2 linked regions of the Lytechinus pictus genome follow. The protein of the gene in region 1 purifies or fractionates together with the protein of each later gene. This does not show direct contact. Links are inferred from orthologs where the notes say so. Each region holds a gene or a part of one and is shown on either strand. Other genes may lie near its edges.

Evidence for each region.
Region 2: the proteins of mitofusin-2-like (region 1) and E3 ubiquitin-protein ligase parkin-like purify together in Drosophila melanogaster (affinity purification with western blotting; 3 studies listed by BioGRID). This does not show direct contact. The link is inferred for Lytechinus pictus from reciprocal best matches to the Drosophila melanogaster genes Marf and park.

What each region holds. Positions count from the first base shown.
Region 1 is NC_087246.1:5,733,755-5,745,114, reverse strand, and holds the start of mitofusin-2-like, read right to left. Parts: upstream 5,839-11,360; 5' UTR 5,733-5,838; intron 3,757-5,732; 5' UTR 3,729-3,756; coding exon 3,569-3,728; intron 1,890-3,568; coding exon 1,763-1,889; intron 750-1,762; coding exon 587-749; intron 1-586. UniProt on the Drosophila melanogaster protein: Mitochondrial outer membrane GTPase that mediates mitochondrial clustering and fusion.
Region 2 is NC_087248.1:10,158,922-10,170,959, reverse strand, and holds the start of E3 ubiquitin-protein ligase parkin-like, read right to left. Parts: upstream 4,424-12,038; 5' UTR 4,232-4,423; coding exon 4,022-4,231; intron 1-4,021. UniProt on the Drosophila melanogaster protein: E3 ubiquitin-protein ligase which accepts ubiquitin from E2 ubiquitin-conjugating enzymes in the form of a thioester and then directly transfers the ubiquitin to targeted substrates, such as Paris, Marf, Opa1, Miro, pnut, Septin1, Tom20 and porin.

The sequences.
Region 1 (11,360 bases):
TAATAAAAAAATGCAAGAAGAGGGTTGTTTATATAATATCCCTATTTTAATTTAAAGTCTTGATGTGAGAAACCATTTAAAAATAAATATCAATTTACATGTATACAGCTTGATGTAAAAAGAAAATTAAGAATCCACTATCAAAAGCAGAAACCCCGAAATTACAAAAATATCAATGGGGGTGATTAATAATTTCACTCTACATAAATGCATAAATATATATATATATATATATATATATATATGTTACCATGGTAATGCAGTAGTTCATTCAACAGGATTTTCCTCTTATTTATTGCCATATAACAATACCAAGCTTGTGATGGCAATTCAGCACAAAACGCATTCAAAGGATGGACCCAACCCACAGTAGTTTGATTCCTACATAAACCTTGTTCATTGTTGTTTATCAGGGTATAGCAACACACCAATACCCCCCCCCCCCTACCCAACAGTGGAAATCAATCCTGGACATCAACAAATTACATAGCCCAAACAGGTACACATGTGAATGGTTTATTTGCATAGGAAAGCAGAGCATAAACCATTATCGGACAGTAAAGGTATTCTTAAGCCTAGTACTCACAGTTATACTCATTTTCTCTGAGCTGTTCTGTCTGCTCATGTAACCCTCTTGCCCTTCGCATCCCTCAACACACAGAAAGCAGTCTGTGGTGTGGCCGATACCAGAGGGTAGCACCTTATCCCTTAACATTGCATTAATTACTGTACTCTTGCCGTTACTCGTTCTGTTAAAAAAAAAAAAAAAATTCATTGACCTGATTATAAAGTTCATAATTATTGCAAATAACATAGAGAGTACATGTATTAATGAGAATGTGCAGTCAAATTTAATATTATTATGTACATTGCAATTTCATGATGAACATAAAAAAAGTTTTTTTTTTTCCATAAGTCTCATCACAGGTGGACCCTGGAGCATTCATGGATGAGTGTCTATTTACAATTAATTGTAATTTTTTTTGTATTTTTTTTCCAGACTTATACCTGTTAATTGTAATAGATTGCATTTTTCTAAATTATATACAGGGCAAAGGTTATCCATGCAAACACTGTCATATTTCCTGCTGATGTGAATTACATTGTCTTTGGTAATATAATTTTAATTTGCAAGTATCCACAAAAGGTACTACATACAGGTAAATCTATGATTTAAGCAGTGGTCAATGTAATGATTATTACATTTAGTCAATGTAATGATGTCTATGAACATATGTTAGATTTATCAGTATTTTAGTACTTGGAAAATAATGCTTGAAAATGATTATAAACAAGGTAAAAAAAAAATCCAAAAACAAAAGATAAAATTCAGCATAGTCATTAAATTCTATAGGTAACCCTAAAAATTATGGGGTGGGGAGATCTGATTCAGCCACATCCTTGTGACATTTTTCAAGATGAATTATTAATGTGAGGTCTCACCACAACATTTCTGAGCAGGGACTTTTTCTTCTATCTTGAGTCCTGCACATTGTTTTAAGACCAAAATTGGGGGTTTCAAAGTTAAGAATGATTTTGTACAATCTCATATTGAATCAGCCCCCTCTCCCAGCTATTTAGTTTTTTAACAAATTACAACCATGGCTTTAATAATAAGAACTTTAAAATGTCAGTTTTCATATCAAGACCACTGAAATGTACATGTATATCATTACAATGTTCATTGTTAATATAATAGCCTTTATTTTCATTACAATGCATTTGTATTATTTGCCCCATCCCCACAACTATTTAATCTCACCTGCCGAAGAATGCTACTTTCATATGATCTCTCTCCAGGACATCTTGGATTCCTCTAACCTGGTTACTGAATGCTTCTACTTTACTCAGTTGTTCATCAGATACTACCTGCGAAGCTGAAGATATCCCTGAAAATCAAACAAAGAAAATTAAGATGCAGTCTCATAAACTATGATAAACCCTGATAATAGCAATGTGCCATTCTCCTTTCCCAAACAAACCCTACTTCTGTGAACTTTGACCCCACAATAATGGTTGTAAAGTCAATGTACCATCTCAAAGCTTTAACTTGAGACTAGCACTATATCTGACCCCATTTACCTTTCAAATTCTCCTCCAAATCACCACTATGAGTAAGCAAATGGTCGTATAAATGCAAACTTTTTCATCATCATCATCATCATCATCACCATCATCATCATCATCATCATCATCATCATCACCACCATCTCATCTAATATAGGAGTGAACTGTTGATCTTCTGATCATTGACTAAGTCATGGATTACCGTACTGTCAGTTCACAAAGTTATACATGATGCAAACAATGGATGTCAGGGTACATCAAAATATCTGCCAAGCCAGAAATTATAATTCTATAAAACCAGTCTCAAATTTGACTAGATTGCATGCAGATAGGAAGGATTACAACAAAGAAAAGAAAATCAAAGACATCGTAACAGCTTACACAGCTGAAAAAACTGGTATCATTGTTTGGTACGCTATGGCAGTGTCTTCCTTAATATAAATACGGATGAAACCCTGGAAACAAGTTAGCTTGTGTGACGATAGGAAAATAAAAGGGTAAATTGCCAATTTGACTGCTGCCGACTCGTCCACTCACCACATGGTCTACTTTCATTTAGTCCACTGCCATTCCATCCATCAACAATTCGTCTAACAACCATTTGGTCCAATCATTACTTTGTCTAATCACCATTTCCTCTCATAACCAGTTGGTCTAATATCCATTTCATTTTCATTCATTTTTGCACAATCAACACTTAATTCAATTAGACCAAATGATATATAGATTAAATGGCTATTGGACCAACTGGTTATTAGACAAAATGGTGAGTGGACGAAATTGGCAATAAACCATGTGTGGATAGTAGATGAACTGATGGTAGACCAAATGATAGTATACGAGTTGGAAATTTTGACGAATTGGAATCAGACGAATTGGAAATAAACCAATATAAGTACCAAATCAATGAAAATTTGAGAAAAATTGAAAAAGAAAATAAGTTATGATCATTTGAGTGTTGAGATAAGCAACCGAGATGTCATTATACAACTCCCTAATAATTGTTATACCTGTACATATTTACTTTGTCACTTTCATTGAGTCTATCCATAGGTATAGATTAGGTGTTTTATTTCTTAATTATTTTTTCATGGGAGGACATGTAATAATGGTTCCATAAATGGACAAGAATTCCACTCATAAGAATGAAAGAAAAAAAAAAAAAAGATGTATTGGGGATTACTTTCAGTGCACTACACAAAGGGGAGAGTTGGACATCTGTGACATCACAAATCTAGTCGCACTGCCAATGGGACAAATTCCATAGTTGACCTTCAAATGCTCACAACTTTCTTATTATTTGTCCAATTATTCTAAAACTTCCATCACTTTTTTTCTGTTTTCATACAAGTTGACTTGTTCCAAGAGTTTCAAATTCATTTCCATGAATATTAAAATGGTAAATTTGGGGTTAATTATGAGACCTAATTCCCAAGATTTTACTTTTCTTCTTTCCAAAATCTACCCCCCCCCCACCACATAATAGAATTTGAACTCTTACCATCCAGGAAACTGTGGCTGTCCATGATGTGACCCGATACCTCCTTGTAGATTTCATTAATCTTTCTTTTGGCATCAACAAACAGTCTGAGTGGGGTACTGGTACGACCGTCTTCTGGTCTAGCCATTGCGCTGGGCCTGCGCCCATATCCGTTGTCCATGGTACACAAAATATGTAGGCTGAAAGACCTGTGCAACATGTACATATAAGAGATATTAAAGTATTACAACTTTCTCCCAGCAATGCCCAAGAATTGTCGTTTGTTGACAGCACTAAGTATGACCAGCACCAGGGGTTGTCCAAGAAAACAAAGATCCAATAAACCAAGACAAATCATGTCTTGATAAATGGAGATTATCCTTGTTTATGAGGACAGTTTTTTTAATTTCAATCTTAGGTAATTTCCTGCTGCCATTCGACATGGCAAACTTATTTCACAAGCCAGCACAGTCAATCACCACAACACACACCAATTTTTTGTATTTCTCCTCGTACACAGACAGCTCGCGATCGTGCAGCTGCCATTAGGGGATTAACAATGCAATATCCCCCGACATTGATTTTCGTCTTTATTTCATTAATAAAGAACTGACCAAAATATAGAGTATTATTCCCTTTTGGCCTGAAATGCACCATGATGGGAAAAAATAAACTTAGATTCTAAAAAGTAAAAGGAAAAAAAAAACCAGTGAATAACTATCATACTATTCTAGTCTGGACTTAGCTAGACTCAAGTTCGGCTGTCGCGCAACTCCCACTTCCCTGACCCTGGTTTATTCGAACATACATTTGATTTGGCCATCGAGTCCCTGTAGTCTGTACACATCGAGTTTAAAGAACTTTAGTCACTGCAATATTGGCGAGTGGCAGGAGTGGAGCCAACGGAGTTTAGCGGAATGACCACACTTTAAACAGTAGAGGCGCACGGCCAATATTGGAGACTGTCTCCAATGTGGGAGATTATCTCCAATATCAAAGACTTTTGTAAAGAATTTGGGTATCCAATTTCAGAGACAGTCTCCAGTTTTGGAGTCCAATTTTCATTTGTTTACATTTGCTGCAAAAGGATTAACTTGGCGGCAAATAAAAATGTGATAAGCAGATTCCTCATGAAAAATTACCCCTTTTCACCGTCTACTTTTGTTTTGATAAGGATTTTTGTTGTCAATCACACACAAAACAAATGGGCTTCTGACCTCAGGCTCAGTGAGACAAAATTTTGGGTGGAAAAAATCATGCTTTTGTTGGTGTTGTTTCTTTTATCCTTTTGCAAAGCAAGTCTCCAATGTGGGAGATTGTCTCCCCTATTGGAGAGAGTTTCCCAGTCCCATATTGCCTATTGGCCGTGCGCCTCTATTCTCTAACAAAAAAGTTACTGTTAAACACTAGTTACACTTACAGATAAAATGTTGTAAATCGGATCAAAATTCAGATCGAAAAACGGATCGGCAGTTAAGCTTCTAAAATCAAAATCGAATCGAAAATCGAATTGGCGATGTTTAAAAACAAAGGAAAACAGAGACCAAGCTTTTGTCTAGTAACTTAGATACAGTAAACTTAACATGTGGGACCAGAGACAAGTTTTTAATAATAATAAAAAAAAAATTATAATCAGAGGTGAGTGGTCACAAATAAAAAGATCTGATAAAAGCTGAAGGGTGTTGAAAAAGTCTGAAATAGAAAGAGCTCCCATACTTCTTGTACAGAGGAAAGCCAAAAATAAGCTGAAAAATGAAAATCAAAACAAAAAAATCAGATATCAGTTAAAAATCTGCCAAGGCCAAGGCCAAGCCAGTCTCCCACCCCTGCCCCTGCCCTGGTCTGGACAAGAATAGATTTTCAGACTGGATAGACATAACCCGGGACATAACAAAGAGATCAGATAGACATGATAGAATAGATCCATCTTGACCTTGCAGCTTGACTTTACGGCATTATCGTGGTTTATGTCACCTGTCCATTCACTGCCGTTTATTTCGTCAGCGGTGGTGACATCTTTCCACTCCCATTGGCATTGACTTTGTAAATTGTAGTGAGCGTACACGCGAGAAGGGAGGTGACAAATTTCACGATAAGGCCGACTTTACTTGGGAGAAATCTCTCAGTGGTTCTAGCAATAAATATCAGTAATGTATGTAAAGACATATTTTTTGTCTTGCCTCACCTTATGTAAGCTTGATTTTCCCCCTTGCTGTTGCTTCAGCATACGGTATGAAATCAATGCATGCGCTGCGCTGCATGCATGTTGTGTGGATCATATCCACTGAACTAGAGATACGTGGAATACGTGTCCCCATTCCCAACGTACACAAAGCCGTGCGGCAACGAAGAGCATCGGGCTTCACGCTCGACTGAGCGCGCCGCCATTTTGCTAGGTCAATACTGGCTGGTCGACAAATGCTGCGTGTAGGCAGATGGGAGAAAGGAACGCAAAGAAAGTGTTCCTTGTGCTGTTCAAAGTTTTAGTTTGCTTTGTTACATCATGAACTATATGTTACTGACTACTTTCATAACTGAAAATGTTGATTTAGTCAGATTTTTGTATTAAAGTGGAGTAAACATAGCCTAATATATGAAATCATAAAAAATCTACCTTTTTCACGCGCACACTGTGACAAAGAAAGGCCCCACAACAAATTTGCTTTCTGAGTAGGCCTACTATTTGTCTGAACAATAAAGGCCTTCTAGCTGGTTGCATTAAAAAAAAAATCTTTTAACGATTAGAAATCATGTCCCTTTTCTCTAGCTTTTTTTTTTACACCTCACTTCTCATTCAACTATTCATCTCATCTCATTTTCTCTGATTTTCCTCTTCAGCATATTTAGTGTCCATCTCTCTTATCCTCCCTTTTCTCCATCCCTTCTATTTCTTCCATTTCTACTTTCATGCATGCCCCTCTCTCTCTTATTTATCCCCTTTATATCATCTCGATCTCCCTCTTTATTATTTTTCCTTTCTCTTTGGCTTCTTTCTCTCTGATTTTCCTCTTCTTTCTCATCTCTCTCTCTTACCTTCCCTTTCTATCTATCCCCCTTATATCTCTCTTTTATTTCCCCATCTCCCTTATATCAAGCCCTCTTATCTCCCTCTCGTCTCGCCTTTCTCTCCTCACCTCTTTCTCATTCCTCGTCATTTCCCCTTTCTCTCCCTCTCTCTTTGATCTTCCTCTTCTTTCCATCTCTTCTCGTTGATCGTCTGTTTCTTTTTTTCTTTCCGGCTCCATCTTTACCATTTTGCCTTTCTCATTTCAACTTTCTCTATATAAATTTTGAGTTCAGGGTGAAAAATTGAATAGAAGTTTGAGGACAAGAAGGTTGTTACTTTTAATGAGCCTCCAAAGTTGGACCTTCGTGCGCTCAGCCATGAATTATCTAGGGGTGATGGATAAACAAATTCAACTCTAACAAGTTTACTAATTAGAGCACAAATCAGAAAAGCATAGAAATGGTAATTCCATTTAAAAAGTTGTGGCACTAAATTTCGCTTATTTTCACATACCAGTTATATGCATATCCTGGTCAGTATGAAATATTCCACATGTCAAAAATTGCACAAAAAGACCACTATCTCTTGTCAAATATTTCCCGGGATCGTCCCGTATTTTGCTCCTTTGTCCCGGCGTCCCGACAAACCCTTCCCGGGACACCTATCTGTCCCGTATTTTTAGAATACTGAACAAAATGTAGTTGATACATAATTTAAAAGTGACGAATTTTCATCAAATAACCTAACAGATGACGAAGCAGAGACAACAATCGATAACTAAACTTTTGCAAAGTTTTGCGGGTGATTTTTATCCTATATAACCCAATACATTGCAAACGAGCTGGCTTCCTGCCTGTATGTGTGTGGCAGGCTCTATGCATGTAGGATCGGAGCAGATTCTCAATGGTGCAAACAATCTCACATGATAAACAGTTTTTCCACCAAAATAATCACAAAATCGGCGGGAAATTTTTATCATCATAATTATAGATTCTCATATTACTGATTTAATACACTCTTAAAAATGTTGGGCAACATACGGTCCACACAACAATTGGTTAAAACTTTATCCAATTCTGGGTAGTTTTACACCAATACTGTGTAGTTTTCACCCAAAGCACACATTATTGGTGTAAAACTACCCAGAATTGGATAAAGTTTTAACCAATTGTTGTGTGGACCGTATGTTGCCCAACATTTTTAAGAGTGTAGGAGGAACAAGTTTTTTTAGTTTTCATTACTGGATCTACATGTAGTTGTTTTAGCTTTCGTTTTGAGTCTTGTTGTGTAGGATGCCGGCGCTGTTTCCTCTAATTTGTAAGTTGACAATGTTTCACTTTGAAATTTTATTCATTTCTAAACCACTTTTTCAAAATTTTAAAGATATATATCTAAAAAACACCAAATATCATTATCATTTCTGTTAGATGATTGGATTGCTTTTGTTTGCTTGAAGTTTGAACTTTTTCCTCGTTCATTTTTATTCTTCATCCTTCTATCCTTCCTGCTTGCTTTTTTTGTTCCATCTATCTTTTAATATTTCCTACCTTTCTTTCCTGATCCTGTCTGTGTGTTAGTTTTCTTTCTTTCCTTCTTTCTCTTATCTGCCCTTTTTATTTACTTCCTTCTCCCTTCCTCGATCACCTTTAATTTCTTTTCGTTTTTTCTCTCCTTCCATTATTTTTTTTTCATTCTCTCCTCCCTCCAATCTTTCCTCCCTCTCTTTCATTCATTCTTTCATTCTTTATTTCATTTTTCCTTCTATTCAGTTTCCCCTTATTCTTTCTTTCCCTCCCTCCCTTCCTTCCTTCCTTCCTTCCCCCTTCCTGTTTTCTTCTTTCTTCGTTTCTTTCTTTCAAAGAATGAACACATTTTTCTTTCCTTCATTCTTTGTTTCCTCCTCCTTTTTCTTACTTTTTCTTTCTCACCTTTATTTTGTCTGTCACACATCTTCCCTTTCTTTCTTTTTCTTTTTTTCTATATTCGATGAATTCAAAGAATGACGGAAACATTTTTTCTCTTTTATTCTTTCTTTCATCGTCCTTTTAATTATTCTAACTTTCTTTCATTTTTCCCCTTCATTGTTTTCTTTCTTCTTTCTCATTTCATTTCTTTTCTTTCTCTCCTTCATTCTTTCGTTCACCCTCCCTTCCAATTCTTTATATTCTTTTCACAAGTATAACTGTGTAGCCTTCTTTGATAATCTTTCTTATCGATTGTCCCGTATTTCATTTTGTGAAATCTGGTCACCCTGATTTAAACCCTTTTTTTAACTACATGAATTACCAGGTCCCAGTACATTGTGCATATAGAAATATGGTTGTACATGATTGGCTTAATGACATTAAAATACACTTTGCCACACTAAGTACATCAGTATTAATTCTATATTTATAGAGAAAACATATTGCATCTTGCACATACTTTCAATTGCCTTCTACGGCGCGTTCTCGAACAATTGACCTAGCAAAATGGCGGCGGTCACGTGACTTATCAAGTTCGCCGGCGATGTTTTGCTTGGGTGAACACGACTTCCACGTATTTTTAGTTCAGTGATCATATCATGTAAAATTCATTACAAAATTTGGTTGCGCTGGTTCAAATAAGAGCTTCATACTTTAGTACCGTAGTAGTGTAGTAGCAGCGAACAACCAGCTGCCGCACGTGCGCCATCAGCGCGAAAGAGGCGCGCCAGATTTAAACGTACCGGTAAATAGCCCAGCCAGCCAAAGGAGCCCAGCCGGTTCTGCCGGCGCCGCTAGCTAGCCCTAGCCGGCCGCGCCGCCGCCGCTAGCTAGCCCTAGCCGGCCGCGCCGCCGCCGCTAGCTAGCCCTAGCCGGCCGCGCCGCCGACACATCGCGAGGTCGAGGCGTAATAACTCGCTGTGTATTTGTAGTGGCTATACTGTACTAGGCTGCAGCTAGTGCTACTGACACTTCGCTGACTACTCGTAATCGAGTGAGGTCTACTGTAACTAGTTACAGTCTGTAACTGTAAGTAGAGCGAGATCTAAGTAAAGTTAGACCAACTTGATCAAACTTCAGGTCAACTCAGTGATGAAATGCAAGATGGGCGAGGAGGACAATGTAAATGATTTGGCCTATACGCAGGCAAGTATTTACTTTACTGCCTTTAGTAATTATTTTAGAGTACTTTTGTTTTTGTTTTAGTACAATTAATGGCTCAGTTTGAAGACGATATTTGTAATTTTGTTGAAGATAATCACTGTAGGGCCTAGTAATTAAGTATAAATGGTAACATGCATAATGCTGTCCCTGATTGTAACTATTGCACAGAAAAACAGTTTTTTGAATTAGTTTGTAATCTGGTAATACCAGAATGAGCACTGACCTAACTCTCCTTCATAATGAATATTCGCAGCTTGTGGGCTTGTCCCTATTGCCTATTGGCCACTGGCGTAAATCCCGGGGGGGGGGGGATGGGGGGATATATCCCCCCCACTTTTCGAGGAGGGGGGGATGGCCTGTACAAACATCCCCCCACTTTTTACGAAAGAAATGAAAAAAAATCACAAGAGATAATTGTTTTATTGGTGAAAATTCTTCCTGAAATACCGCTTAACAAATAAAACAATTTTATTGCATCATAAATGATAAAATGCAAATAAAGAGCCAGTTCACCATTTCCAAACGAAATACTTATGACGGTTATGTCCTTATTATAACATTGAAGAGAAACCCCCGTTTCTTCCAATTCATCAATGTTGGGGTCTTTGAGAAGGGATCAAGATCGAATGTCAAAATATATGAAACATTTCCTGTCCGTGATTACGTTCGCATTAGTGGATTGGTGAGATATGTCTGCTCTTCATGAATTCCTAAAATCAGTCCTTAAAATGTCCCTTCTGATCTGAATATAAAATATTTTCAGCTCGCGCTTCGCGCTCGCATCATTTGGTTATTGAAATACGTATGGTCCTAGTTAATTCCTACAAAGAAACCTTAGAATGTCCACTTCAGGTCTGAACTATATAAATTTTCAGCTCGCGCTTCGCGCTCGCAATATTTGATTAGTGAGATGCGTATGATAATCATGATTGCAATGACTACAAAAAGTGTTTCATTTGTTCAGATCTAATTCTGATAAAAACAGCAAGCGCTTGGCACTCGCATTAGATGACTATGGTGAGATATGCATGCTCTTAATGGATTCCTAAAATATATTCCTTAAAATCTCGCTGTTTGGGGTAAAAATATACGAAAACTTCAGCTCGCGCTTCATGCTCGCATTGTTTAGCGAGACAGGTACCTATCATGATTACACAAATTTGATTACAATGTCCCTTTTTAGGTGTGAATATAAAAAAATTTCAGCTCGCGCTTCGCGCTCGCATTATTTGATCAGTGAGATACATATCCCTTTAATGACATTGTCCATGTCTCTATTAGGTCAGAATAACTGGCAACTGAGCGCACTCACTCAGTGATTCAAAATTTTGCTGGTGCCCCCCCCCCCAATGCCGTGACCCACGGTACGCCACTGTGTGGACATATCAATGACAATTCCTTGCATATCTAAAAACATGATTGCAAAAAAAATGCCAAAATATTTCAGTCATCCCCCCCACCCATCAACACGGATTTACGCCAGTGCTATTGGCGTCTCTGAGCATGCTGAGACTTGGTTATCTAATTCTAGTGAAAATGATATGAATCTCTTTTCTGTTCCAGGTTATGATATAATTTGTAATAATAGGAAAAATAAAAGAGGTGGTGGTGTTACAATATATGTCCCTTCTCAGTTAGATTATCAGGTTTGTCATGATCTTAATTTAATGACCATGAT
Region 2 (12,038 bases), on another chromosome or scaffold:
CGTATTTTCCCTCAAAATACACAGAATAGCAACAGAAATTACTCCAAAATCACAACAAAATGAGAATATTAAATGGCCGAAAAAACCCAGAAAACACGATCTCACTTCGCTACTATTATGACAATTCACACTCGATTGTACCCCGCACCGTACCCGTACCCGGCCGGCCGGGTTGGGCTTCACATGCACACATGTATCGTTCAACTACATGTACACAGTTGTGTGTTGCTGCCCTCTACGTTTGAAGATGTAACAGCACGATATCGTGGTCTTAAAATCCAAGATGGCGGATTGGGAAAAGACGTTGACTGATGATAACGATGTCCAAAAACCCCCAAAATTATCGATGAAATATCATTTCACCGTGAAATAATGCTAATAATATGAAAGGTGAGGATGTATGCATGCAAAATGGGTGTGTTAAAATATTTTATTCACCCGCATAGATCCGATTAGAACGGATTTTATTGTGTTGTTGGTACAGTAGCAGATACAAATTTTGACCAGTGCGAGTGTGCATGTAAATGTGTAAACGGAATTGTCACTTTTCCGTGTGTACAAAGTCTATGGGGAAACGGAATTTCCGTTTTCTGACATGCTGAAACGGAATTTGAGATTTTCTGAAACGGAAAAGGCAATTTTTTGAAACGGAAAATCACTGTCCCTACAGACTCTACATCTATATAAAAAATCCTATGCGATAATGCCCTCAATTAATCACCACCCTCTTGTATGGAAAAGAAGTGAGCAAGTGTGAGCCTTAACAATAGACAATCTCTCAAAATATACACAATAATATTTTGCTCTTTTTATTTGTGTGGAATAATCAACACCTGTTGAATTGATAAATATGGTCTAATTGATCAATATCCAGTTCGTTATTGATTTCAGTTATTTTGTGACCAGCTACCCCAAACCAAAAATAAGTCGACAGGGAAGGTTCTCTGTAAATTTCCAAAATAATCAATAATTTGGTATTCAAAGAGCAGTAATGCCTGTATTGGAAAATTAGCTCATCTGAAAGTGATTCTTCTTCAAAATCGTACTGCCAAAATTTTAAGTTGTAAAGCTTGCTGAACTTGATTGGCGCTGGACTGAGCCGCCGATGCTCCCGCAATCCAATCCTAATGTTTAGCTTGCAGCTAGCTAGGGCTAGCCGGATAAAAGAATATTAGCATGGCGCAGACATGGGGTACCATTTTTTTTTGTCAATCTGAAAATGACTGCCCAAGGATTTTCCAAGAAAATCCTATATTTCTTTCAAATTTTTATGATATTTGGTGCACTTACTCATTAGGAACATTATTATCTGAAAGATTTTGTTGAATAAAAAGAAATTCATATTAAATCTGACTCAAGTTGTTAGGTGCGCAGACTTGGGGACCACCATCACAGTTCCAGAGTCAAAGACCCTAATATTTAAGTTAGTCTAGATTCCAGCTTCCTTCCACTGTGCGAGGTTAGAACTAACCTCGCACAAGGAACCGTGTTTGGCAGAGGATTTTAATTGTTAAACTAGATCTAGTGGTAGTGCCAGTCAGGCCAGTGGTGAGTGGGTCGTGTATGCTGGATGTCACTGCTGGCGTCCACAACACACGACTTCTAATTTTGTATGGCTTGATTTTTCTGTGTGCAGCGGCATGTACCCTTGAGTGCACCAGGCAGTACCCTAACCCAGGGAGCTCCGGCCCGCGAAGCCCTGCAGACTCTAGATCTGTATAGAAAAGCGGGTCGGAGCCCAGGACTCGTCCGTGTAATATTAGGCAGAGTGCTCTCCAAAATGGGGTAGAATGGGGTCGCAATAGCACCCCAAATAAAAAGGGGAAAAATAAATTATGCACTTACCTCGATTATATAGATAAAGGTCTATTGTGACACAGAATCCTGACATCGAGGCACAAACTGGACCCTCAAAAAAGGGAAAGTTCTGTCTCGTTCGTTCTCCTTTCAAAATTGAAAACAAAAGTAAAAAAGGCTGATCGATACCGAGAAATAACTCGACATAGAGGTCTAACTTTTCCTTTTATTGAGGGTCCAGTTTGTGCCTCGATGTCAGGATTCTGTGTCACTCACAGGGTAACCAGTAGTACCCGAGCCCCCTTTTCGAGCCATTGGCGTCAGGGTGACCAGGCGTCCTGTATTTCCCGGTATCGTACAGTATTTTGCTCATTTGTCTCTGCGTCCCGACAGACCCTTCCCGGGACGCATATTTGTCCCGTATTTCAGAATATTGAACAAAATAAAGTTAATACGTTTAAAAGTGAAGAATTTTCTTGAAATAACCAACAGATGACAAGGCAAAGACAACTATAAAATCGATAACTGTAAACTTTTGCAAGTTCTGCGGTGATTTTCTTGCTAACCCAAGGATTGTAATCCTTTATGTTTGGATTTGAAATCAATAAAATTAAACTTGAAACTTGAAGCTTACACTGCAAACGAATTGGCCTCCTGCCTGTGTGTGGCTACTAGCTCGGCATGTAGGATCGGAGCAGATTCTAAATGGTGCAAACAATCTCACATGATATTGGTAACAGTTTTCCACCAAAATAATCACAAAATCGGCAGGAATTTTTTAAATTATATTATGGATTGATTTTCTCAGATTACTGATTTGGTGATGTATTGAGTTTTCATAACCAGATCTATGTTGTTTCAGCTTTCGTTTTGAGTCTTCTTGTGATCGGTGCAAGCTTGTAATATGGGATGGAAGAGATGCCTGTGTGTGATGCCGCGATGTTTCATCTAATTTTTAAATTTTTTTTTGCTTTGAAATTTTATTCATTTCTGAAACATTTTAGTTTTTTTTATTCAAAAAAATATATATTAAAAAACACCAAATACCGCCTTTACCGGTAGGCTATTAAGATTTTTGTTAGATGATTGGACTTTTTTGTTTGCTTGAAATTTGAACTTTTTCCTCTTTCTTTCTTTTCTATCCTTTCTTCATCCTATCCTTCTTGCTTGCCCTTTTTTGTTCCATTTATCTTTCTTTCTTTCCTGATCCTTTCTATCCCTCTATGTTCATTTTTCTTTCTTAATTCCTTCTTTCTTTTTTATATTTCCTTTTTTATTTCCTTCCTTCAACTTTTCTTTGCTTCCTTCTTTTTATTCTCGTTCTTTCTCTCCTTCCATTATTTTCTTCTTTTATTCTCTCCTCCCTTCATTCTTTCCTCCCTCTTTCATCCTTTCTTTCTTTCAATTTTTCCTTCTAATTATTTTCCCTTATTCTTTCTGTCTTTCCCTCCCTTCCTTCCTTACTTTACTTGTTTTTCTTCTTTCTTTCCTTTTTCCATTTTCTGAATCATTTTTCTTTCCATCATTCTTTCTTTCTTCCTCCTTTTATCTTACTTTTTTCCTTTCTCTCATTTATTTTTTCTTTCACACATTCGTTCATCTTCCCTTCCTTTCTTTCTTTATTCATTTTTCTCTCTTTTATTCTTTCTTTTATCCTTCTTTTATTTTAATTTTTTTTCTTGCACTTTCCCTTTTATTCTTTTCTTTCTTTCTTTTCAATTCATCTCTTTTCTTTGTCTCCTTCATTCTTTCGTTCATCCTCCCTTCCGATTCTTTATATTTTTTTACAATTCTAATTTTTAGCCTTCTTTGTTGATCTTTTTCATTAAGCCTAGGCCTGGCTTGGTCGATCCGCTCGTGCAGCGTGCTTTGTCGATTGTGACTCCCGTATAACGTATTTCTTTTTGACTTTTGTGAAATCCGGGGAGCGTTTCATCAACATTTTCGTCCGACAAGTTGTCAGATCTGACATCTTTCCTTGATTTTGATTGGCTGAGAGGTACTGTTCCTATAGTAACTGTCGGATAAAATGGGACTTGTCGGATAAAACTTCTGACATGACGTCACAAGTCCTTTCATGAAACGCCACCCTGGACCTGGTCACCCTTTTTGTTGGTTGACGTTGTGCGGATCTGCGTCTTTTCATTCATTCTTTCAATCATTAATTCAGGCGCAGTAACTTAGAATCTAAAGTTCTAAACACTTAATCTAACGTTAGGCCTACCTCCATTGTTTGCACATCAGTGATCAACTTCCCAGCGAATATCAGGCGAATATCTGCGGGGGACTGTCCCGAGAGACGAGCAACCTCGTCTCGTATCTCGGCCCCACTTTGCGTCGCGTGAACAGGCATCCTCATTTCTGCTACATTTCCGGAAAATTTACCCAACCTTGGAGACTGAATGAGCCTGACTGATATAAGGATCTGGTCCATCTTTGAATGACACGTTGAAATATTGTAAATCACATAAAAAGTGACAAAACATAATTTATAACCATGAATGATAACGTCGTTTTAATAATACAGGCCAGGCCACACGAATACATCGCGCGCGCGTGGCCGGCGAACACGTGAAATTTTTGAAGCGCGCTCAGCTATTCTGGAAAAAATCGTCTGCTGGAGTAGAACAGCTGACGAGTTCGAAAATCCCCTGATGAAAAAATTAGTTGATCAAAAAGGGACCTGTTAAAGGACAGGTCCACCCCAACAAAACGTTGATTTGAATAAAAAGAGAAATATCCAACAAACACAACACTGAAAATTTCATCAAAATCGGATGGAAAATGAGAATGTTATGACATTTTCAATTTCGCTTAATTTTTTACAAAATATAGTTATATGCACATCCTGGTCAGTATGCAAATGAGGGAACTGATGACATCACTCTCTCACTCACTATTTCTTTTTTATTTTATTATATGAAATATTCTTATTTTCTCCTCATTTTCCTGTGAAACAAAGTTTTATTTTGCCCTGAACATGTGGAATTACCATTGTTTAACATAATTTTTATGGCTCAGTCAAGTTGGTCCTTATTGTCAAATCTGTAAAAATTGAAATATTGTATAATTCAAACAATAAAAAAAAAAAAGAAATACTATAGTAGTGAGTGAGGGACATCATCAATTCTCTCATTTGCATGTGACTAAATTGTGCATATAACTATTTTGTGAAAATCTTCTTATTTTACATCCTATTTTGATGAAATTTTCAGCATTATGCTTTTCTGATTTTTCACTATTGATTCAAATCAACATTTTTTTGAGGTGGACTTGACCTTTAACGGCTGCTTGCAGTTAGCCATGAAGACGTTACATATTTCAACAATCAAATACTAGTAATGCGAGCGCGAAGCGCGAGCTGAAAATTTGACATTTCTACCTGAAGAATGGACATTCTAAGCACTTTTTGCAATCGTGAAAAGGATAAGTATATACAATAAATGCGAGCGAAGCGCGAGCGGAAAAATTCGAGATTTACATTTAAATATGGGACACTACTCTATTCATGTTTGGTACATCATGAAAAGGATGAGTAATTGGAAATCTTCCTACATCAATAATGCGAGCGCAAAGCACCAGCAGATTTTTTTTTAATATTGTGATCTGAAACTGGATAATAATTTAAATAGAGAACAAGCTGCGTATCTGAACATGCATATACGCGCGCGTGTTTCAGATTTTGGCCTAGAATCTAGGCATTCTAAATACCTTTTCAATCATGAAAATCAATTATTTATTTACCTATTTATTTCTTCAAATAATATTTCCATAGGGTGCCCTGTCAGCAAAGGCTGGTATCAAAAGGGGCCCTAAAAGCATTACAAAAAACACGTAGGCCTATATACAAGTGATAAAAATATACAAAGTAAAAACATTATATAAATCATACATATTAGAATACAGAAAGGCATGCAAAGTCGGAGTCATTAAAATATTTGTAACACCGGACATAATATATGATTTGAGTTTTTTTTTTTAAATAGAGAGGGTGGATATGGTTTTTAAATGAAGGGGCAAGGAATTGAACATTGATATATTGAGGAGATAATGAATGAGTATTTATAGTATCAGTATTGCATTTTGGGACATCGAGTTGTAGGTTGGAGGCAGATCTTGTTTAAAGTTATCATTAAAGACATCGGAAGATAAATTATTTAGACTCTAAAATATTAATATACATCGGAAATACATTACTCTTTGGTGATAGGAGAACCATTCTAGTTTTTTTTTATTGATCAGACGGGCTGAGGACGTGAGCTCTGTTTGAGTATTATATTCTGGCAGCAAGTTTCTGAAGTGTTATTATTTTTATTCGTTTGTGTGATAAATCGTAAACCCCATACTTCACAACAATTGTCAATTTGACTTTGGATTAAACAGTTATAAATTTATTTTGATGTGGTAAGATCATTGAATGGATGAAAAGCGAGCGCGAAGCGATGGCTTAAAATATTTGATATTCCGATCTGAAAAATTGTCAATTTCAGCTCTGTATTTCAAGCACTTTGTATATAGGAAAATTGTGAGGTGGATATGGATCACAGTTAAAAAAGAGCTGATATCATGGATATGTTTCATTATTTTTACTTTGAGTTTTGACATAGGACCCGGGGCATTCTACGAACATTATGTCGTCATATGAAAATGATGACTATCTTCCTATTTCTCTTCCTAAGCGCTAGATGAAACTTGTTGAAATTCCTTTCTGAAAAAAGACAATTTGATTTGTAAATTAATATCTTATTTATTAATCTAATAAGCCTCGTGAGAGCGTGAAATCTGTTAATATTATGGCCTGAAAATTGGACATTTAAAGCACTTTATGAATAAGATGCATGAATTAATATATTTTCAACAATCAATGCGAGCGCAAATCGTGAGCCGAAATTTTAGATAAACTGTCATGAATGGGGATTTTAAAGGGATTGTCAGGGCTGAAAATATTTATATCTAAATAAATGGAGTGAAATTCATAAAGCAAAATGCTGAAATTTCATCAAAATCGGATAACAAACACTGACAAATATGGAAATTATTGAATTTTAAATTTTATCAATATTTTGTGAAAACAGTTCTATGCACATCGTCATGATTATACATAAGTTGGGCTGATGATGTTATATCCCCATTTTCCTTTTTCTTATGTTATTACATGAAATCACAAATGTTTCATATTGTCACACATGTGAAAATGATGTGTCTCCATTATGATGAAATAAATTGCGGCAATAAAAACTGATGCACTTAATCAGTTGTCGATCCAACTGTTTAAGTTCTTGGTAGATTTTTTTTTGAATAAACCTGATTTCATAAAATAAAACACAAAAGAACAAGTGGGTATATGACATCATCAGCCCACCTAATGAATATTCATGAAGACATGCTTAGAACTGTTTCACAGGAATAATGCAAATCTTTAAAATTCAATAACTTTTTCTGCATTTTTCTCTGTGAATTTTACTCTATTTATTGACATATAAATATTTCCAGCCTGGACCATCCCTTTAAGTAGTTTGTTATAGAATGAATACTGAGATATGCATATAACTGATTAGGGATAATTTCGAGAACTTTATGGAATACCGGGAAATAAAAGGTATCTGACAAAACAAATTCTGCGAGCGCGCAGCGCGAGCATAAAATGTTAATATTCAGACCATAAAACACAAATTTTTGCAGAGCACTTTTAAAAAATAAATGTCAATCAATCAAAATAATGATTTCCGAGCTGAAACGTGTTTTGTAAATTGACTTCAAAATTTGATATTTTAAGCTCCATATTGAGCAAGATATGTTAATCACCAAAAAGCGATAATTGTTTATAGTGACATGAAAATTTTTGAAATTTTCTTCCAAGTCTTCCCCTCATCTTTTTTTATTCACTCGTCTTCCTCCTTTTATGTTTCCCCTTCTTTTTCTCCTCTTTTATTTTCTTTCTTTCCCCCTTTTTTTTCTTTTTTTTTGCTCCGCCAATAGGGGGGGGGGGGGGCGGGTCTCGTTTTCAAGTAAATATTCACCAAATATATTTCCTCTCATTATTTTGGTTAGTGCAATACGTATAATGAATTCCTACAAACAAGTCTTAAAATACCATGAAGTTCGGGTATCAGCACGCGCACGCGCTTCGCGCTCGCAATATTTGATTAGTGAAATAGGCCTACGTATCATCTTCATGATTACAACCACCAGCGTATCCAGCATCAACTACGACAAAGAAAATGTATGGGCCCGTGCAAAAGCATGATACAGTCACTATTGTCCCTCATTATTGGGCCCATGATGCTTTCATAATAGGATCTGATGCTGGATACGCAACAGATGACTACAAAAGTTCTTCATATGTGTTTAGGTGTGAATCTAAAAAATCAGCAGTGAGCGCTTGACGCTCAATTTTTTTTTCTTTCTTCAAATTAAATGACGATGGCGAGATATCGATATGTATATGCTCTTCATCATGAATTCCTTTTCTAAAAATAGTCCTTAAGGACGTTCCACAGTTAAAATGAAATCATTTTAAGCTTCAGCACCTAATTATTCCAAATATGCAAAAAAAAAACCATAATAATAAAATGGGTTCATGTGCTTGTCTTTTTGCTATCAGCTCACCCAATTTGAAGTTTGTATTCACAGGGTTTGGACATTTTCAGACTTCACGTTGAGTTTAAATAATTCAATCAAAATCCCTGTAAATTTCATCACAGTATAATTCAAATTGTATACTTAAGATGGATAATCTATTCACATTGTTATTTGATTGCCCTTTTAATGCTAGCAGCACCTTCAATTCACAATAGCTATCTCACAAATTTGAAATTTCTGTAACAAATTTGCGAAGTACAATAAATGCTACACTTTTTCCAAAACGCATATGTCATTTTTACCAAAATTTGCAAAGTTGGAGAGGAAAGTATACTTACGAGGTGTAAACATCAAGTAATAGGGGTTCATGTGCTTGTTTTTAAACTCACCAACAATATGTTGCGCCAATGCGGGCCAATGCTTTGTATATGAGAAGAAACATCTCTAACTGATCTACCGTTTATTCAAACTCGAGGTCATATTCGTCATTCTTTGCAGTATAATTCCAATGCAGAGTTAAAGTATTCTGAAATTGTAGAGGTATTTCAAAAATGGTTCCATGGATTATTTTCAGCTAATATACGTTTTATAATTATCATGATTATGATATGTTATTGGAATGCATATCAAGGAAAAATCCACTGATACATAATAACTAATTTAATCATATATTACTATATGGTTTGCAATGTTTATTTGTTGGGCAAAATCTGGGTACTGTATAACATAAAGGTTGGAAATTGGAAATATATAGGGACGGTGAACTTCATAAAATATGATGACTAAAACGAAAATAATTTATTTATTCATTTATTTATTTCAAATCTTTAACCAGAAGTGCCTGTTCAGCGTTGTACAACTTAATATGCAAAATTACACAATATATACAATTATTAAGACCTTCATTAACAAAAATCGCTGGTCTTCCACAGGGATCTGCCTATCTAAAAACATATAATTCATAACATAAAGAAAACATAAGTAAAATAATTTCGTGTAGATGCCAGTCCCATGCAGGCAAAGAAGAAAATAAAGAAGAAAAAGAAGAGGAAGAAGGAGAAGGAGAAGAAGAAGGAGAAGAAGAAGAAGAAGAGGAGGAGGAAGAAGATGATGAAGAAAAAGAAGAAGAGTGAAGAATAAAAAGGATACGAGGAAGAAGAAGATGAGGAAAATTCGAAGAACGGAAGAAGAGCTGTGTCTGAGAATGTTGGCAATGAAGGTAGTCTAAAATCGAAAGTAACAATGAAGGTCCACCAATTAAGCTCTCCAATAGTACAGAAACCGGATCCAGGGGGGGGGGTGGAAAGTGAGAGCCCCCCTTTGAGCATACAACAATAACAAAGGGATAGAGAGAGAGAGAGAGAGAGAGAAAGAGAGTAAAAAACTGGAGAGATGTAGCCAAATGCATTAAGTTGGCAGTGATGATTTTTTTAATTGAGTTTTCATGATTCTGTGTAACAGAAAAAAGAAATTAGAAAAAAGTAAAATAATCAGCATATACACCCAGGGCCTATTTTGGAAAATTCCAGCATAGGCCTTTAACAAGTATTATGACCCTGTTTTTTTTTTGGGGGGGGGCTGTCAAATTTTTAGAACACTGATGCACCTCTTCAGAAAAATCCCAGACCCACACCTGAATTATTTGAGGATTCCAACAAATACTTCCCAGTCCCCCCCCAATAAAAAGTTTATTTGAATAAAAAGAGAAAAATCCAACAAGCATATAACACTGAAAATTTCATCAAAATCAGATGTAAAATAAGAAAGTAAGGACATTTTAAAGTTCGGCTTAATTTCACAAAACAGTTATTATGCACATCCTGGTCGGTATGCAAATGAGGAGACTGATGATGTCATTCACTCACTATTTCTTTTGTATTTTTTTAGATGACATGTGAAATATTAATTTTCTCCTCATTGTCAATTGAAACTATGATTAATTTCTCCCTGAACATGTGGAATTAGCAATGTTTAATACTATATGGTTCAGTCAAGTTATAGTCCTTATTGTCAAATCTGAAAAAATGAAATATTGTATAATTAAAAAAAAAAAAAAAAAAAAAAAAAAGTGAGTGAGGGACATCATCGACTGTTTCTTCATATATCACTGTTTTGTGGAAAAATAAGCAAAACTTTTAAATGTCATAACTTTCTCATTTTTCATCCGATTTTGATGAAATTTTCAGCGTTATGCTAGTTTGATTTTTCTATATTTATTCAAATCAAAATTTTTCTGGGGGTGAACTTGACCTTTAAGCTTCCCGATCATGCATGCATGCGGCCCATGCAGTCAGTCGCGGAGCACCCCCTTCTCCTCATTAGAACATAATTTTTGCAATATAATCGTAAATTGATTACTTTGAAAAAAAAAATCATATAACTTGGCGGACTCAGGGGGGGGGGGGGGGCACACCGACCAGTGCACCCCCAGTGGTAAATGATTTATATAGGGCCGCACACCCAAGCAAGCGAAGACCTCAATCTTTTTAGCAGGTTTCCTTTTCTTTATCTTTTCTTTTCTATATCGCGCCATGAGCGTCTATTTATGATGGATACTGGCCCCGGTAGTGGCCCCGATACTGGCGCATTACAAATGCTCACATTATTGTTATTAATCTCATCATCTTTTTTATGCTTGTCATTTCTTTCTGAGCCAAAATGCCCCCTAGTAAAATTCTGGATCCGCCCCTTATAACAAATTTGACTGCAATAATTTATCAATACAATAATTACTGAGTCGTAAAACATTATTTTGTTGTGGGTAAACAATGAATCACGGCACGTGTGTATACAGTACCGGTATCTGATGTTTTGGACGGGGATTCGTTTTGGACACATCGCGATCGTGAATATAATGCACGAAACATCTACTTTTTTATATATACCCGGAAGTAATCAGACCATACAGCGACAGCGCGAATACAAAGTTCTGTGGTTTGCGATGAAAAATAAGGAAATGGACATGGACCCTTTAACAAAGCAATATTAACTACCGCGGACTATTTCAGATGAGAAAGGATCCAGTAATGCTATTTTATTTCTGATTTACATCTGCTTGGACTTGCGGGACAATGGCCAGGCATGGAAGCCTCGGTGGCCGTGGAGGAGGTTATACGACAGTTTTTCCAAGTTCAACATGTTCATCATCCGTGTACGACGGTGAGTATTGGAAGATTTGTGCAGGCTCAGTACTCGCAGCTCATGAGATTTCTATTGAATTTGAGTGCAGTGTCTGAGCTGAGCTGTGCCTGTGCGTTTGCTGTTGACTATGTACAGGTACAATGTGGTAATCCTAATTCTAGCTACTTAGCTTTGCGCCTCTACCCAAGACAGAAAGGTTTTGTTTTTATTTTGAGTTCTGGTGGGTGTGTCATAATAAAGCTGTTCGTAAGTTAAAGAGCGACAAGAACGACTGGTGATCTTGTGGGTATTCATTGGCGATTTGGTTAAGCGCGTAAGAAAGGTTCACCAGTCGTTATTTTGAGAATGCAATGAAGAGATTTTGATCTTCAGAAACAATTGACAACTAAAAAAAAGTAGGCCTATCACTCTCAAGATGAATGGATCTTCATTTTGATTGGTGTGCACCCGTACCTTCCGTCCCCCACCCCTAGATCCATGCAAGGCATGTGAAATTGGGAGCTATATTCATTGCTCAC